Linked DNA regions of Caenorhabditis elegans. The protein of the gene in region 1 purifies or fractionates together with the protein of each later gene. This does not show direct contact. Each region holds a gene or a part of one and is shown in the gene's direction. Other genes may lie near its edges.

Evidence for each region.
Region 2: the proteins of C01H6.4 (region 1) and syd-2 fractionate together in Caenorhabditis elegans (co-fractionation; one large-scale study listed by BioGRID). This does not show direct contact.
Region 3: the proteins of C01H6.4 (region 1) and ttr-35 fractionate together in Caenorhabditis elegans (co-fractionation; one large-scale study listed by BioGRID). This does not show direct contact.

What each region holds. Positions count from the first base shown.
Region 1 is NC_003279.8:7,208,506-7,213,114, forward strand, and holds C01H6.4 (Flavin-containing monooxygenase), read left to right. Parts: upstream 1-1,765; 5' UTR 1,766-1,881; intron 1,882-2,084; 5' UTR 2,085-2,087; coding exon 2,088-2,168; intron 2,169-2,214; coding exon 2,215-2,306; intron 2,307-2,575; coding exon 2,576-2,750; intron 2,751-2,800; coding exon 2,801-3,037; intron 3,038-3,121; coding exon 3,122-3,283; intron 3,284-3,410; coding exon 3,411-3,522; intron 3,523-3,576; coding exon 3,577-3,935; 3' UTR 3,936-4,017; downstream 4,018-4,609. Other genes in the region: C01H6.3 (C2H2-type domain-containing protein), read right to left, coding at 1-22, 335-415, 885-1,002, 1,056-1,181.
Region 2 is NC_003284.9:10,549,181-10,556,908, reverse strand, and holds the start of syd-2 (Liprin-alpha), read left to right. Parts: upstream 1-1,669; 5' UTR 1,670-1,744; intron 1,745-1,968; 5' UTR 1,969-1,972; coding exon 1,973-2,086; intron 2,087-2,135; coding exon 2,136-2,465; intron 2,466-2,536; coding exon 2,537-2,632; intron 2,633-2,681; coding exon 2,682-2,813; intron 2,814-2,906; coding exon 2,907-3,040; intron 3,041-3,278; coding exon 3,279-3,372; intron 3,373-3,465; coding exon 3,466-3,582; intron 3,583-3,631; coding exon 3,632-3,805; intron 3,806-3,850; coding exon 3,851-3,988; intron 3,989-4,038; coding exon 4,039-4,265; intron 4,266-4,308; coding exon 4,309-4,474; intron 4,475-4,565; coding exon 4,566-4,870; intron 4,871-4,964; coding exon 4,965-5,118; intron 5,119-5,197; coding exon 5,198-5,320; intron 5,321-5,378; coding exon 5,379-5,539; intron 5,540-5,583; coding exon 5,584-5,902; intron 5,903-6,273; coding exon 6,274-6,595; intron 6,596-6,647; coding exon 6,648-6,832; intron 6,833-6,944; and 4 more. UniProt on the Caenorhabditis elegans protein: May play a role in regulating the structure of the neuronal region, called the active zone, from which synaptic vesicles send neurotransmitter signals across the synapse. This may be in association with the liprin-beta protein hlb-1.
Region 3 is NC_003284.9:6,510,374-6,513,481, forward strand, and holds ttr-35 (Transthyretin-like family protein), read left to right. Parts: upstream 1-1,911; 5' UTR 1,912-1,913; coding exon 1,914-2,003; intron 2,004-2,048; coding exon 2,049-2,258; intron 2,259-2,301; coding exon 2,302-2,439; 3' UTR 2,440-2,545; downstream 2,546-3,108. Other genes in the region: ttr-36 (Transthyretin-like family protein), read left to right, coding at 564-708, 762-898, 941-1,039, 1,745-1,783.

The sequences.
Region 1 (4,609 bases):
GATTTTGACAATATTGACCAATCTGAAACAAAATAAAAATTAACGTTTTTCTCAAATTTCATTTGGACTTTGCTAGAAATTTTTTGAGCAGACTTTTTTTTTCGATGATTTTCAGTAAACCGAAATTGATTTTAGGGACTCGAGTTGATCTTTTGATTATTCTCATCTTGAAAGTATGTCTTCACACTTTGTTACAGTTGCACAATATTTATCAAGTGCTACATGTCATTCTTTCTTTTTGGTCCATCTCTTTCTCATTTCTTCATTTTTTTTTTCCAATTTCCTCATCGTTGCTCTTCATTTTTCCCTTCGTTTTCTCAATTTTCAAACTCACCTCCATAACACTTTTCCTTGTGCTCTTCGATGACTTGGTCGTCGTATTGCTCTCCGCAAACAAAACAAATTCGAAGTCCGTCTGAAGAAAATAAGAATGAAGGTTATTTACGAACAGGGGCACTTCTAAATTGAGGTGAGATGATGGGTGACTGCGTTGAAAAATGAGAAACGGAAATTGAAGAGAAGGGAGTGAACAGGAACAGAGAGTGTCGAGTTTTTATAGTTTAATGCTCACAAGTTTAGTTTCAAATAATTAGAAATCGAAATTTATCGTTGTTTTTATATTTTCTAACAAAAGTTTCTACACTGTAACTTGTTTTTAAAAATATATTATCGGCCATACGTTTCCTTTCGAAAAAAACGTTTGTAGTTTCAAAATCTTTTTTTTTTTTTTAATTTTTTCAATTGAACTTTCACTGTATTTTAGACTTTTAAGTCATATTGATTATACACTGGTTTCAGATTTTTTGGGTTGAATAAAAATTCTTTCACGAAATGTATAACCGAATAATTGTATTGCACGCAATAGTAATAAACTGAAAACTTACTATTTTCATGATTATATCTTGATAATGATCGTGTTCGAGGTCTCTCCGTAGTTGTCATTTCCGCGGGTCGAATTTTTTTTCGTCTACCAGACTTTGATCTACCTCTTTTTTGATTATTCTGAAATCAAAAACAAGTTCTCTGAAGGAAATTAATTAACTGAAAAACTCCACCTGCATTTTAAGCTTTTCTTGCTCTAAGATTTTGTGCATTGACTCAATACAATTCTTCTCATGAATAAGCAACGAATGTTTTGAATATAGACGTTGACAGTGTGGGCATTCTAGGAATGTAGGCATGGTTTGACCAGGCAAAAATGAAATGAAAAGTCAAAAAAGGGTGTAAAAAGAAGAGTCTAATTTTCCATGAATTTTCGAGTGAATGAGAGAAGAAAAGGATGTTCAATGGGGGAAACGCGTAAGAGAGTGTGAGGGTTAGACACAGAAGGCGTTGACTCCGTTGAGCCAAGCCACTTCAATGAAGCTGTTACTATGAGAATAGGGAAGTTAGAAAAGATTGAGAGACATAGACAAAATGTGTGATATGAGATTAGAGTGAAGAAAGAATAAGTAATTAGAATAGAAACTGCATACGTCAGATATTGGTTAAACATTGAAGTTTTCAATTGATCAACTGGAATTTAGAAATTCATATTCTCAGAAAACTTTGCAAAACATATAATTTTTAGTCATTCGTGATGATGATGTTCAAAGATCACGGTAAAAGTGCAAACATGAGTTTGGGAATCGTTTTGAAAACAAGTAAAGTCATAAAATATGACAATGTCGTATTATATTACTCGAATAGACCTTTTGAAAATATCACAAAAGATTTTTATGACTTCCAGAGTTTCTGAAAAAATGCGAAATTTAGATAACGTCTAAATTGCCAGTTTTAACTGGTTTCACTAACTTGAACACCTATTCATTAAAAAATTTTCTAAATATTCAAACCAAATATTGAGTTGCCATTTTACCAACTATCCATTTATGCAATGAGGTAATTTTGGTTAATTTCGAAAATTCTCAAAGTTTCAATTTTTGTAGTTACTTTGCAATTAATTTATTTTTATAGCTTTCCCCTTTTTCTCTGATTACTTGTCTGTATTTTGTCATCCACGACAGATCATACTGATAAGCAATCAGCCATTTCATCACTCACTTCTTTTTATTCTATACCTTTCTTATTTTCCTTTTTCATAGAAAATGCACAAGAAAATATGTATTATTGGTGCTGGAGCAGCGGGATTAGTATCTGCAAAACATGCTATTAAACAAGGTTATCAGGTTAGAACTTTTTGGAACATAATCTGTGAATTATAAATTAATTTAGGTTGATATATTTGAGCAAACTGATCAAGTTGGAGGAACATGGGTTTATTCAGAAAAGACTGGGTGTCATTCAAGTTTATATAAAGTTATGAAGTATGTGGTTTGGGATTATTTTCATTCTTGGTGATTTTCTCACTTTAGACAGACTGTTTAAAATAAACAAAAAATTTTTGTCTCAAAAATATCACAAAAACAAGAAAATTTTCCTATAGTTGATTAATTAGTAACAACCGAAAACAGAAAAAAGACAAATTCCAACAGTATATCAGTATATCAACAAAATATGATAAAAATTCTAAAAAGGGAAAAGAATATGTTAGAAGTCATGTTTATAAAATTTTAAAAATGTTTGAAAAATTCAGAACGAATCTACCAAAAGAAGCCATGTTGTTCCAGGATGAACCATTTCGAGATGAACTCCCATCTTTCATGAGCCACGAGCATGTACTTGAGTATTTGAATGAGTTTTCTAAAGATTTTCCAATTCAATTCTCATCCACCGTAAACGAAGTAAAGCGTGAAAATGATTTGTGGAAGGTGAATAATAAAACTACAATTAAATTCTTCATAGAATTATGAGTTTTCAGGTGTTAATCGAATCAAACTCCGAAACTATCACTCGTTTTTACGATGTCGTTTTCGTGTGCAATGGACATTTCTTTGAACCATTAAATCCATATCAGAACTCATATTTCAAAGGAAAACTTATTCATAGTCATGACTATAGAAGAGCAGAACATTATACTGGAAAGAATGTGGTCATTGTGGGTGCAGGACCATCTGGAATTGACATCACACTACAAATTGCTCAAACTGCAAATCATGTAAATCTCGAAAACTTTGAAAATTCTGAAGTTTTTCTAAAAATACAGACTTCAATTTTTAAACCCCATAATAACTGTTTGCAGGTAACACTAATAAGCAAAAAGGCGACATATCCGGTGCTTCCAGAATCAGTTCAACAAATGGCAACCAACGTAAAAAGCGTGGATGAACATGGCGTAGTTACTGATGAAGGAGATCATGTTCCTGCTGATGTCATAATTGTTTGCACCGGATATGTTTTCAAGGTAAAAATGTTTAAACCGGCGTAAGAAAATAGTTAACCTGGTGTGCATTATGAAAATATTTCAGATAATCATTAGAAATTTTATAAATTGTTCTCTTTTTTTCTGGGAGAACTCGTGATACTTTCAGTTTCCATTTCTGGACTCTTCACTAATTCAATTGAAATATAATGATCGTATGGTATCTCCACTTTATGAACATCTTTGCCATGTTGATTATCCAACAACACTATTCTTCATTGGTAAGTAAATTGGGAAATCGTATCTTTTCATTCATAGTTCACATGTTATTGCAGGCCTTCCTCTCGGAACAATTACCTTTCCGTTGTTCGAAGTGCAAGTTAAATACGCGCTCTCACTGATCGCCGGAAAGGGAAAACTGCCGTCGGATGATGTTGAGATTCGGAATTTTGAAGATGCACGTCTTCAAGGTCTTCTGAATCCCGCATCATTTCATGTTATAATAGAAGAACAATGGGAGTATATGAAAAAATTGGCAAAAATGGGAGGATTTGAAGAATGGAATTATATGGAAACAATTAAAAAGTTATATGGCTATATTATGACTGAGAGGAAGAAAAATGTGATTGGATACAAAATGGTTAATTTTGAATTGACAACGGATTCATCGGATTTCAAAGTTGTTGATATATAGTTAATATGCTTTGAAATTGTTGTTTAGACTTGAATTAATTTTTTATTATTTTTAAAATCAAAATTATGCAGGATTGGGAAAGTATTTGATTTCTTGAAGCTTCTCACAATCAGAGTGGACTTTAACGACGATGTAGCATGGATAATTAGATTCGCATATCCTATTTAGGTGAATTGGAGAATTCATATAGTTTTTTAAGAAACTATTTGAGGCGACGTTTTTGAGCCCATTGTTGGGAAGATAAATGAAACAGTGTTTATATTATTTTGTTTTTCGCGCTCACAGAATCTTAGATATGAAAATTTATGAGATTTTTTGTTATTTTTTAAATAGCGTTTTTTTAAAAATTTGTTCTTATAGGGCTGTTATGGGGGATGTCCCTTCTTGTTCCTCTCAACGTTCGGAAGCTGATTCCGGCGTCCCTCTAGCCGGAAACTGAAGCACCAAAACTGAATCGGAGTAATAGTAAAACCTTCAATCGATTCTCGATGTCAGAACTCATTTTCCAATAACGGTATAAAAATCAGGGGGCGCCCCATGACAACCCTAATTACGATAAACGGTAGCTGAACAATATTTCAGAAGTTTCAAATTAAATTTTAGATTTTTCTCTGATTCACGTTCAATCAAACACATGTTCTCATGAATATTAATAATTTCGAACTTTTATATTT
Region 2 (7,728 bases), on another chromosome or scaffold:
TGGTCCCCCTCTTTTACTTTCTCTCCGAATATTCATACTCTTTTTCTCCGGGTTTTCTCACTAGTTCCGACCTTGCTCGCACTCGTTCGTCCATGAAAGCATTGATGTTCGGTGACTTTGAAAACTTTATGCAAATCTCAGGAATGTTGGGGTTTTGAGGGGGACGCCAAACGGAACAAAATAGGAAAATCGTAGGGATAGGGGACGTGAAGGCACTTGTTATTTTCATTGCCACTTCCACAAATTGAACGCTTGTTCTTACTCTTGCCTTGTTAGATCCCTCGTCTTTTTTTTTCGATTTCTATCAATCTGTATAACGTTTTACTACTTTACTATTATACTATTTTACGTTCAGAAAATGACTCAGAAATGACGAGTTTATACAACAATCGTGTTGTTAAACTTTTTTCTGCTTCAGTGTTTTGTTCCCCTTTTTTATGCTACTATCACAGAAAACCAAAAAAAAAAACGGAGTTTTAGGAAAAAACATTAAAAGTCTAAAAGTTGGAATCGAAGAAGTGTTCTTGTTTGTCAGTCTTCATTGTCAGTCGATCTTTGAAATTTGAAATAAACTTCCCTGTAAAACCCAATTGAATATATTTTGAGCACTCGTTCTAAATAATTGCTGCATATACTTGGAAGTAGAAAACGTATTCAATTTACAAATGGTTAATATATCACTATGAGTTTAGTGAGAGTAACTTGACTTATATTTAAAATGTTTAGAAATTCTCCGGATGCCCTAATATTAAACGAGAGACTTGCCCAGCTTCGTTCAAGTTTAATTCAGGTTCATCGGTGTCTAAAAAGTTATTGTAAGAAAATTGAGTTAAATCTTTGTTATCATATTCATTGCAATAGGATATAATATAAGTTATCTAAGTTCTGGAATTTTTTCTATAGCCATACAATTTGGAAAGTTTCATACAGTTTCGAAACATTTTCTCACGTTCAACCGTACTATTTCAGGACGTTCAGAATTTTGCCATATCTGTCTCTCTAATATTCTCTTGTCATCTCTATTTCTCTATTATCTTTTATCCTTTACTCCTTTCTCTGTTTCTGTACTTCTCCGAATTGTCAATTCTATCTTGCACTCTCATGTAGGAACCAATTGACGAAGAAATAGCGGGAGGCAGTCAGGGAGGGGACGGAAGGGGGTTTTCTCCCGCGCGCGTAGCCAAACGGCCGATAGATGTGTGACCCTGTGTTCTCTGGCTCTGGCCTGTCTCATCTTTCGTTTGCACCCATTCTCTAATGCCCTAGCATCGATTCGGGCCCACGTCCGGCCACAACGAAGAGGACGAAAAGGAGAAAGAAGGGGGAAGAATACGAAGGGCGAGCACTACTGACCGTTGTGTGTAATTCGGAGCTCTTTCTCTTTATCGGCCTGTGTCTATTGTCTCTTTTTCTTTCCCTCTCTTTTTCCATCTTCTCAACTCTTTTGCTTGGCGAGTTGGTTGTTGCAGTCATATTACTTATAACACACACACAAGAGGAAGAAACGAAAAAAGTAGAGAGAAAGAGAGAGGAAAGAGAAATAAAAACACTTTCAACGGAACTAACTTACTTTTTAGTTCTTTCGTAGTTCTTTCTTAGTTTAGTGTCAACCGTTTTAATTATTTTGTCTTTCAGCTTCACAAAATTATTGCTATAAAAATTATTGTAGGTTATTCACTTTCTGCAAGGTATGACAAATTACTCAACAAGGGCAAGCTGATTCACTTCTTTACATTTTTTTCTGGTAAGTGTATTTTATTTTAAATTTGAAAATTGTATAGTCAACGTTCAGATATTTCTATTTCTAGGCGATGTATCCAATTTCTTCTGTTTCTTGCGTTTTTTCTCGCGCTTTTCTAAATATTTTTCTGCATATCTAGACGATTTCAAAATATAACTAAACATTTATTAATGTTTTGTTTTTGATTGAAAATCTGAAATTTAGTTATCAATTTTAATCTGTTTCAGAAATATGAGCTACAGCAATGGAAACATAAATTGTGATATAATGCCGACAATCTCGGAAGATGGAGTGGACAACGGCGGTCCCATTGATGAACCATCGGACCGAGACAACATTGAGCAGGTCTGTATATTGTAAAACCTTAAAACTGAATGTTCTTTAACTTTTTCAGCTGATGATGAACATGTTGGAAGACCGGGACAAATTACAAGAACAGTTGGAAAATTATAAGGTGCAACTGGAAAATGCAGGGCTCCGAACGAAAGAAGTTGAAAAAGAACGAGATATGATGAAGAGACAGTTCGAAGTTCATACGCAAAATTTACCGCAGGAACTTCAAACAATGACGCGGGAATTATGCCTATTAAAAGAGCAGTTATTAGAAAAAGATGAAGAGATTGTCGAGCTCAAAGCAGAACGGAACAATACTCGACTTCTTCTAGAGCACCTAGAATGTTTAGTTTCCCGTCATGAAAGATCACTCCGAATGACGGTCATGAAGGTATGTCTTTTGATTTATTATTGTTCCCCATTCTATTTGATGTGCTGTAATATTAAAACTTCCTTTTTCAGAGACAAGCTCAAAACCACGCTGGCGTATCTTCTGAAGTTGAAGTTCTAAAAGCTCTTAAGAGTTTATTCGAGCATCACAAGGCATTGGATGAAAAAGTAATTTTTTGTATTTACTCTGTAGATTTTCTAATGTTTTAATATTCAGGTTCGTGAACGTCTTCGAGTAGCAATGGAGCGTGTGGCGACACTTGAAGAAGAGCTGAGCACAAAAGGAGATGAGAATTCGTCGCTGAAAGCGCGTATTGCCACTTACGCAGCAGAAGCGGAAGAAGCAATGGTAATTATTCATTGAAAAAAATAAGAAAGAAAACAGAAAAACGAGAATACATCACATACCCACAAAAATGTGTTTATCAACAAAAATTTTCAGGCGTCAAATGCACCCATCAATGGTTCAATTAGCAGTGAAAGTGCAAACAGACTTATCGAAATGCAAGAGGCTTTAGAAAGAATGAAAACAGAATTAGCCAACTCACTAAAACAATCAACTGAGATCACAACAAGGTACTATCGTAATAACTTTTCAAAAATTGATGGTGAATATATAAACACCTATAAATTTTTGTGGTCAAATTTTTCGGTTTTTTTTCAAAAAAATGTTTGAAGAATGCGTAAAAATTAACTATAAAAATATATTAAATTACATTTAAAAAATTGTTTTCTTATCTCAATTCAGTAAAAAAAATAGGAAAAAATCATGCTGAAAAGCCTATGAATACTCCCCCAAATTTTTAAATTTTAGAAATGCCGAACTCGAGGATCAATTGACAGAAGATGCTCGTGAAAAACATGCTGCACAGGAATCAATCGTTCGTTTGAAGAATCAAATTTGCGAGGTACTTGTGAAATAATCAATTTGTATCGATATTGTTGCTTTTACCTCAAAATCATTCAATTCAAGCGTATTTACTTATTTTTCCTATGTTTAGCTTGATGCACAACGCACCGATCAAGAAACTCGGATAACAACGTTTGAGTCGCGTTTCCTGACCGCGCAAAGAGAGTCAACGTGTATCCGGGACCTCAATGACAAATTGGAGCATCAGGTCAGTAAAAGACATCGCAATTGCATTAGAAACCTCATTTTCTTTTCAGCTTGCCAATAAAGATGCGGCTGTCAGGTTGAATGAGGAAAAAGTTCATTCACTTCAAGAAAGATTGGAGTTGGCAGAGAAGCAACTTGCACAAAGTCTCAAAAAAGCTGAATCCCTTCCGTCTGTAGAAGCCGAATTACAACAAAGAATGGAAGCACTTACAGCAGCTGAACAGGTGTGTTTTTGTTGTTATGTTTGTTTAAAATGTTTTCCTTTTCAGAAGAGTGTTTCTGCTGAAGAGCGCATCCAAAGGTTGGACCGAAACATTCAAGAGTTGTCTGCAGAGTTGGAAAGGGCTGTGCAAAGAGAACGCATGAACGAAGAGCACAGCCAACGGTTAAGTAGCACTGTGGACAAGGTGAGCATTTTAAAATCATACACAAAAGTGTTAGCAAAACATTTTTCCAGCTTTTATCGGAATCTAATGATCGCCTTCAACTGCATCTCAAAGAACGAATGCAAGCCCTCGATGACAAAAATCGGTTAACACAACAGCTTGATGGAACAAAGAAAATTTATGATCAAGCGGAACGAATCAAAGATCGTCTTCAGCGGGATAATGAATCTCTACGGCAAGAGATTGAAGCTCTTAGGCAACAATTGTACAATGCAAGAACTGCGCAATTCCAGTCAAGGTACAACATAATATAATGCATGGTGAAACCGTAATTTTTTCAGAATGCATGCAATTCCGTTTACACATGCTCAAAACATTGTGCAGCAACAACCACAAGCTTCGATTGCTCAGCAATCTGCATACCAAATGTACAAACAACAACCAGCTCAACAGTATCAAACTGTAGGAATGAGAAGACCAAATAAAGGAAGGATTTCAGCACTCCAGGTGAGATTTGGTTTTGTGACATTTTGTTTCACCATGTTAAAATTGCTATTGGCTACAACAAAAAGAAACCAACCATTGAAAAAAATTTCAGGACGATCCGAACAAAGTTCAAACCCTCAACGAGCAAGAATGGGATCGACTTCAACAAGCGCATGTTCTTGCCAACGTCCAGCAAGCATTTTCCTCATCACCATCACTGGCCGACGTCGGTCAATCGACTCTTCCACGTCCTAACACTGCTGTCCAACACCAGCAAGATGATATGATGAACAGTGGAATGGGAATGCCAAGTGGAATGCAGGGAGGAATGCAAGGTGGAATGGGTGGTGGTCAAGATGCTCAGATGTTGGCATCAATGCTACAAGATCGCTTAGATGCAATAAATACTGAAATAAGGTGGGCTAATTATCGTTTTAAAATCTGATTCTATAATGTATTTTCTTAACTTTATTAATTTTTTATTAATTGTTTTTAACAAGTATATTTTAAGATTGATTCAACAAGAGAAACATCACGCAGAACGGGTGGCTGAACAGTTAGAACGATCAAGTCGGGAATTCTATGATGATCAGGGAATATCTACGAGAAGTTCACCAAGAGCAAGTCCCCAATTAGATAATATGCGACAACATAAGTATAACACTGTAAGTCTTCATTTGTTTGTTTTTTTAATACATTTTTTATATGTATTAAATGTTCTTCAAGAATTTTTCTAAATTATAGCTTCCTGCAAATGTATCCGGTGACCGACGGTATGATATTTACGGCAATCCGCAGTTTGTTGACGACCGCATGGTTAGAGATTTGGACTACGAGCCACGACGAGGGTACAACCAATTTGACGAGGTAAGAGTCATCTCAAGAAGGAAGAAGATGATTAATGACCGGTTCGTTTCTTTTGCAGATGCAATACGAAAGAGATCGAATGAGTCCAGCTTCGTCAGTCGCTTCCTCGACAGATGGCGTTCTTGGCGGAAAGAAGAAAAGATCGAATAGCTCAAGTGGATTGAAAACGCTTGGAAGGTTTTTCAACAAAAAGAAAAATTCATCGAGTGATTTATTCAAGTGATTATTTTATTGAGTTATGAAAACATACAATCATTTTTTAGACGAAATGGAGATTATTCGGATGGCGAGCAGTCGGGCACAGAAGGAAACCAAAAAGCTGATTACGACAGGAGGAAAAAGAAGAAGCATGAACTATTAGAGGAAGCCATGAAAGCACGAACACCGTTTGCTCTTTGGAATGGTCCAACTGTTGTTGCCTGGCTGGAGCTGTGGGTTGGCATGCCAGCGTGGTATGTAGCTGCGTGTAGAGCAAATGTGAAATCCGGTGCAATAATGTCAGCTTTGAGTGATCAAGAAATCCAGAAGGAGATTGGAATCTCAAACCCATTGCACAGGTTGAAATTGCGACTTGCAATTCAGGTACTGAGGCTTTAAAAATTTACTAACCGGCAGTAAGACGGCATTTTGTTTGTATGTTGCAAAAAATGAAAAAAAAACACCAAAATAAATTTATCTTGGTTCGAACCAGGTTCTTTCAACTTGAAAGTTCTCATGGCAAGATTCAGCAAAAATACAGCAACTCTGTAGCCAGGTATTTTTTGTTAAAAATTTGCAATATAAATTAATTGTAATGATCAGTCAATGTGTTCACAGATTCCTTTGATTTTTTCATTACATAAAAAATAATATCCTTAATGTTTTTCTGAAATTTTGAATAATGACAGTTAAACTTTCAAATTGAGCAAACAATTATATACAATACAAGATTATATGTATATGCTTTTTTTCAGGAAATGGTTTCTTTAACGTCACCATCTGCCCCACGAACTGCTCGTCTGACTCTTGCCTTCGGAGATATGAATCATGAATATATTGGAAACGACTGGCTTCCTTGTCTCGGTCTTGCGCAATACCGATCAGCGTTTATGGAATGTCTTCTTGACGCTCGAATGTTAGAACATCTTTCAAAACGTGACCTACGCACGCATCTGCGCATGGTAGACACATTCCATCGTACAAGTCTCCAATACGGAATTATGTGTCTCAAGAAAGTCAACTATGATAAGAAAGTGTTGGCGGATCGGCGAAAGGCGTGTGATAATATCAACACAGGTAATAATTATATTATCTTTACAACAATGCCTTTATGGGTAATACCTTGCAGACTTGCTAGTGTGGTCGAATGAACGAGTTCAGCGATGGGTGGAAGAAATCGGGCTAGGTGTATTTTCAAGAAATTTAGTGGATAGTGGAATACATGGTGCATTAATTGCACTGGATGAAACGTTTGACGCATCCGCTTTTGCATATGCACTCCAGATTGGATCTCAAGACGTTCCTAACAGACAAGTGAGTAGAAGTCATCATAATTCAAGAAACCTTTGGGAAAAATTGAAAATAATACTCAAATATCATTTTATTCCGCAAAAACAATTATTCATATAATCTTATACATTTTTAGCTACTGGAAAAGAAATTCATTGGCTTAGTCAACGATCACCGTCAACAATCCGATCCCCATCCGGTAATGCCATAGTCCGTCGATTAACACGTTTTCTTTTTAAACAATAATCAATTCTTACATTGTTCAATTTTTTGTGCTGCTCTCTTGCTCAACTAGATTTTCCTTGACATTTTGCAGTGCTCCTTTAACTCTTCCCGGTTGCTCAAAACATTTTTAATTCAGATATCTAAAACAACTTTAACCTTCAAAAAATCAGCATTTTCAGTCATAATTCACACTGTTAATTAACGTCTTTTCCACAATACTGGTATGATTTGGTGTGTTTGCTCTAACTTCAGTATTGTTTGATCTCATCGTTTAGTAATGTGCAAAATTTCAATTTTCAGAGAAGTGGAAGTTCTCGTAAGAATGATTCCATAGCAAAATCCTACGAGTTTCATTTATATACCTAGTTAGTTAGTTAAATTAAAATTTTTTCCGCTCCCTCTCACTCGTTCGTGTCTTTCCTGTCATTCGTGCTAGTCTAAACGACCTTATACCGCCTGCTTCTGTAATTTTTTATTGACGATTTCAGTTTTTCGGTATTTTAAGTTTTAATTATTCTCATTATCATATCCATATTTTTTCCATTCTCAAGTTTTTCCCTAAATATCTTTTTAGCACGTTTTTCTTCTGGTAAAAATCAAAAAGATAGAAAGAAAGTGCGCTAATATTCAATTTTTCTACAAAACCAAATACTTTTAACTTATTTCCTTGATTATTAATTATAGTTTTTATCCAA
Region 3 (3,108 bases), on another chromosome or scaffold:
GTTTTAACTAAATTCTCCAGTTTTGACAACTTTTTGTGTAGTACAATTTGGAAAATCGTTTTTATTTTATCATTACTTCTTGTATATATTGTGTGTTTATCTAACATTATCCCGTTTATTTAAATGCTTTTTGTGAATTGATTGATCAGCCACAAAAGATTTTTTAACCATTTCAGTAATTTATCAAAAAAACAAACATGTTGGGGTCTGTTGGGTCTCAAAACAATTAAAAATTTCAAAAACCAAAAAAAAACATTCGGTTTTGCACAGAGAAATTTGTACTTTTTACTCTATAATAGTTCATGATTTCTATACTCGGAAATGTGAGTTCAGACAAGTGACCCAAATCCATTTATCAAAATTTGAACAACACTGTCACTCAATTTTGATTTTATTGTGTTTGACTTAAATTTTCTCGGAACTGTCAACATTTCGTTATCTACTTCATTAACTCAACATTTCGTCTCTTTCAATAAATATTTTTTCTTGACAATTGATACCTTTTCTCGAAAACTAGATTATTTCCCAAAAATATGAAATTCAACTTTAAATTTCAGTAATAGATGATGAAGACTCTAGTTCTTACATTACTATTAATCGGTGGAGCATTTGCATTCCGTACTCAATCGACTGGAGTCAAAGGTAGACTCATGTGCGGAAGTAAACCAGCTGCTGGTGTGAACTTGAAACTTTTTGATGAAGATAATGGTTAGTGATCCTCGATTAATTGCAAGTTTGTGACGTACCAATTGAATTTCTAGGCCCAGACCCAGACGATGTATTGGATCAAAAAACAACCGATGACGATGGAAACTTTCTGTTGTCTGGGTCTTCAATGGAGCTGACACCAATTGATCCAGAACTAAGAATTTTCCATGACTGCAATGATCAAGGAAGCGTAGGTGCCAATTTGTAATATTAATTTTTAACCTTTTTTCAGCCTTGCCAACGAGAATGGGTTATCCGGATACCAGCAAAATACATTACTAATGGGCCAGAAGTGAAGGAAATCATGGATCTAGGAGTTTTAAATTTGGAGGTTGGTGATTGATTAAAAGTACTTTTGGTATTTATGGGTTTCGTCCCCCCCCCAAAGTGATTTCCATATTTTCTAATTGAGACGTGAACTTTTTCTTCATTCTCAGGCTTAGGGAAATTATTTTCTAAGCCTAAACATGAAAACAGTATTAAAATAAACATTCACGTGTGGATTAAAATTAAAAAGGTAGTGTTAAATAATTAAAAATCATTTTGGGGGGAACGAAACCGTGTACCGTACCTTTTTATTGTTTTGTGTTTTTATCAGGTTTTATAATAAGTTTTCGAAAAATTATTCGATATATAGGTGTGCGGCTCAACCTATATGTAAATCCTTGTATAGCCTATTTTATATTTACCGTATATCCTCTATTAGTAAGGCGTGCAAAACTAATTTTCGGACACCTAATTTGATGCAAAACTAATAGAGGTGCAAAACTAATAGAGAATATACGGTAATATAAATTTGACATGCTGATTTGAACGCTGCATAGTGTCGTCCGTGGGTATTTTGCTTTAAGTTGCATTGAGTTAAAGTGAAGGTGGGTCGGCAAAAAGAACCCCCTCACAATGTTTAGCAATATTATTAAAAAACAATGTTAATAATCATATTCAGTAATTGTTTTCAAGTTCAAATGAACGCAATGATTGAAAAGCTGGCAAATTTAATTTTCTAGTCAAAAATTATCAATCATATTTTTTTCAGATCGAATTGGACAACGAAAGTAGAAGCTGTGCTCACTAACTGAATAATGTTCAACTTTAACAAATAAATATGGTTCTTAAAATTGTTGTCATCTTTAATGTTTGGTTTCTGACCAACTTTTCTATCTTTTTTTTTTAATTTTCCTTATTAAAATTTGTATAATTCAGAGATGATTTCCAAACTTTTGATCCTTGGAACATGTGTTCTATCAGTTGTCTTGGCTGCATCGGAATCGCACTCTGGACGTCAAAACTACAGAGTGGGCTTTATCAGAAATTCAAATTATTTAGACAGTTTTTTTCAGGTGAAAGGCGCGTTTAGATGTGGCAATGTTCCAGTAAAAAATGTTCAAGTAAAGCTGATAGATGACGACTTTGGATCCGACCCTGATGATGATTTGGGTAGCGGCTATACAAACGCAAACGGAGAGTTCGAATTGAGTGGATCCACCACGGAACTCACAACTATTGATCCTCACCTGAAAATCTACCACGATTGTGATGACGGAATTAATGTAAGTTTCTAATTATTCATGCAACACAAAAACTTATTTTCAGCCATGCCAAAGACGTTGGAAGTTTGAATTGCCAAACAACTACATTTATTCGGACACTGACACACCGAAGACTTTTGATATTGGAATTTGGAATTTAGAAGGAATCCTTCCTGGAGAGAGCAGAGACTGCAATCATTAATTTTTAATTTGCCTTTTAAAAACTATTTGTATAAGTTAAATCATTCTAAAAAGCTATGTTTCGATTGAATTCGCATTATCAGTTTTGAAATGAAATTTTCTATTAATAGCGTCACACTTGATTAAAAAATTTGATCACATAAAATTTTAAGTCTAAAACTATATTTTTTAAAACTTTTATTCTCAAACTATTAAAAAAACGAACAATTTCTAGGTGCCAGGTAACAGGACTCTAAACAGCTCATGTGGCAAAAACACAAGCAAAATTATGATTACAAAAAAACATGTTAAAAACTTGAGGCACTGACCAGTTGGAACAAAAATTTGAAAATTTCTGGTTCATTTCTGGAGTTTTGGAATTTGCAATTTTTAATATTTAGTTTGCGAGCCGGTCGGTGCTAATGTAATTCTGCACAACTTTACTTGTAATGAAAACATATTTTGCCTAGATGAATAGAAAAAATTAGTTGATACTTGTATCTATCCGAATTGAGCTCAGCTTCCTTTGACCCGTAGTAGACCACAATATTTTAAAAGTTATCAGATAATCGGAGAGTTTATTGTTTTTGTGTTAAGTTGTTTGTAGTATGAAATTAATAGCAATATTTCATTTATAAGAAATCATACAAAAATATCGGTATTCTGAATTTAGATGTCAATGAGATTATTG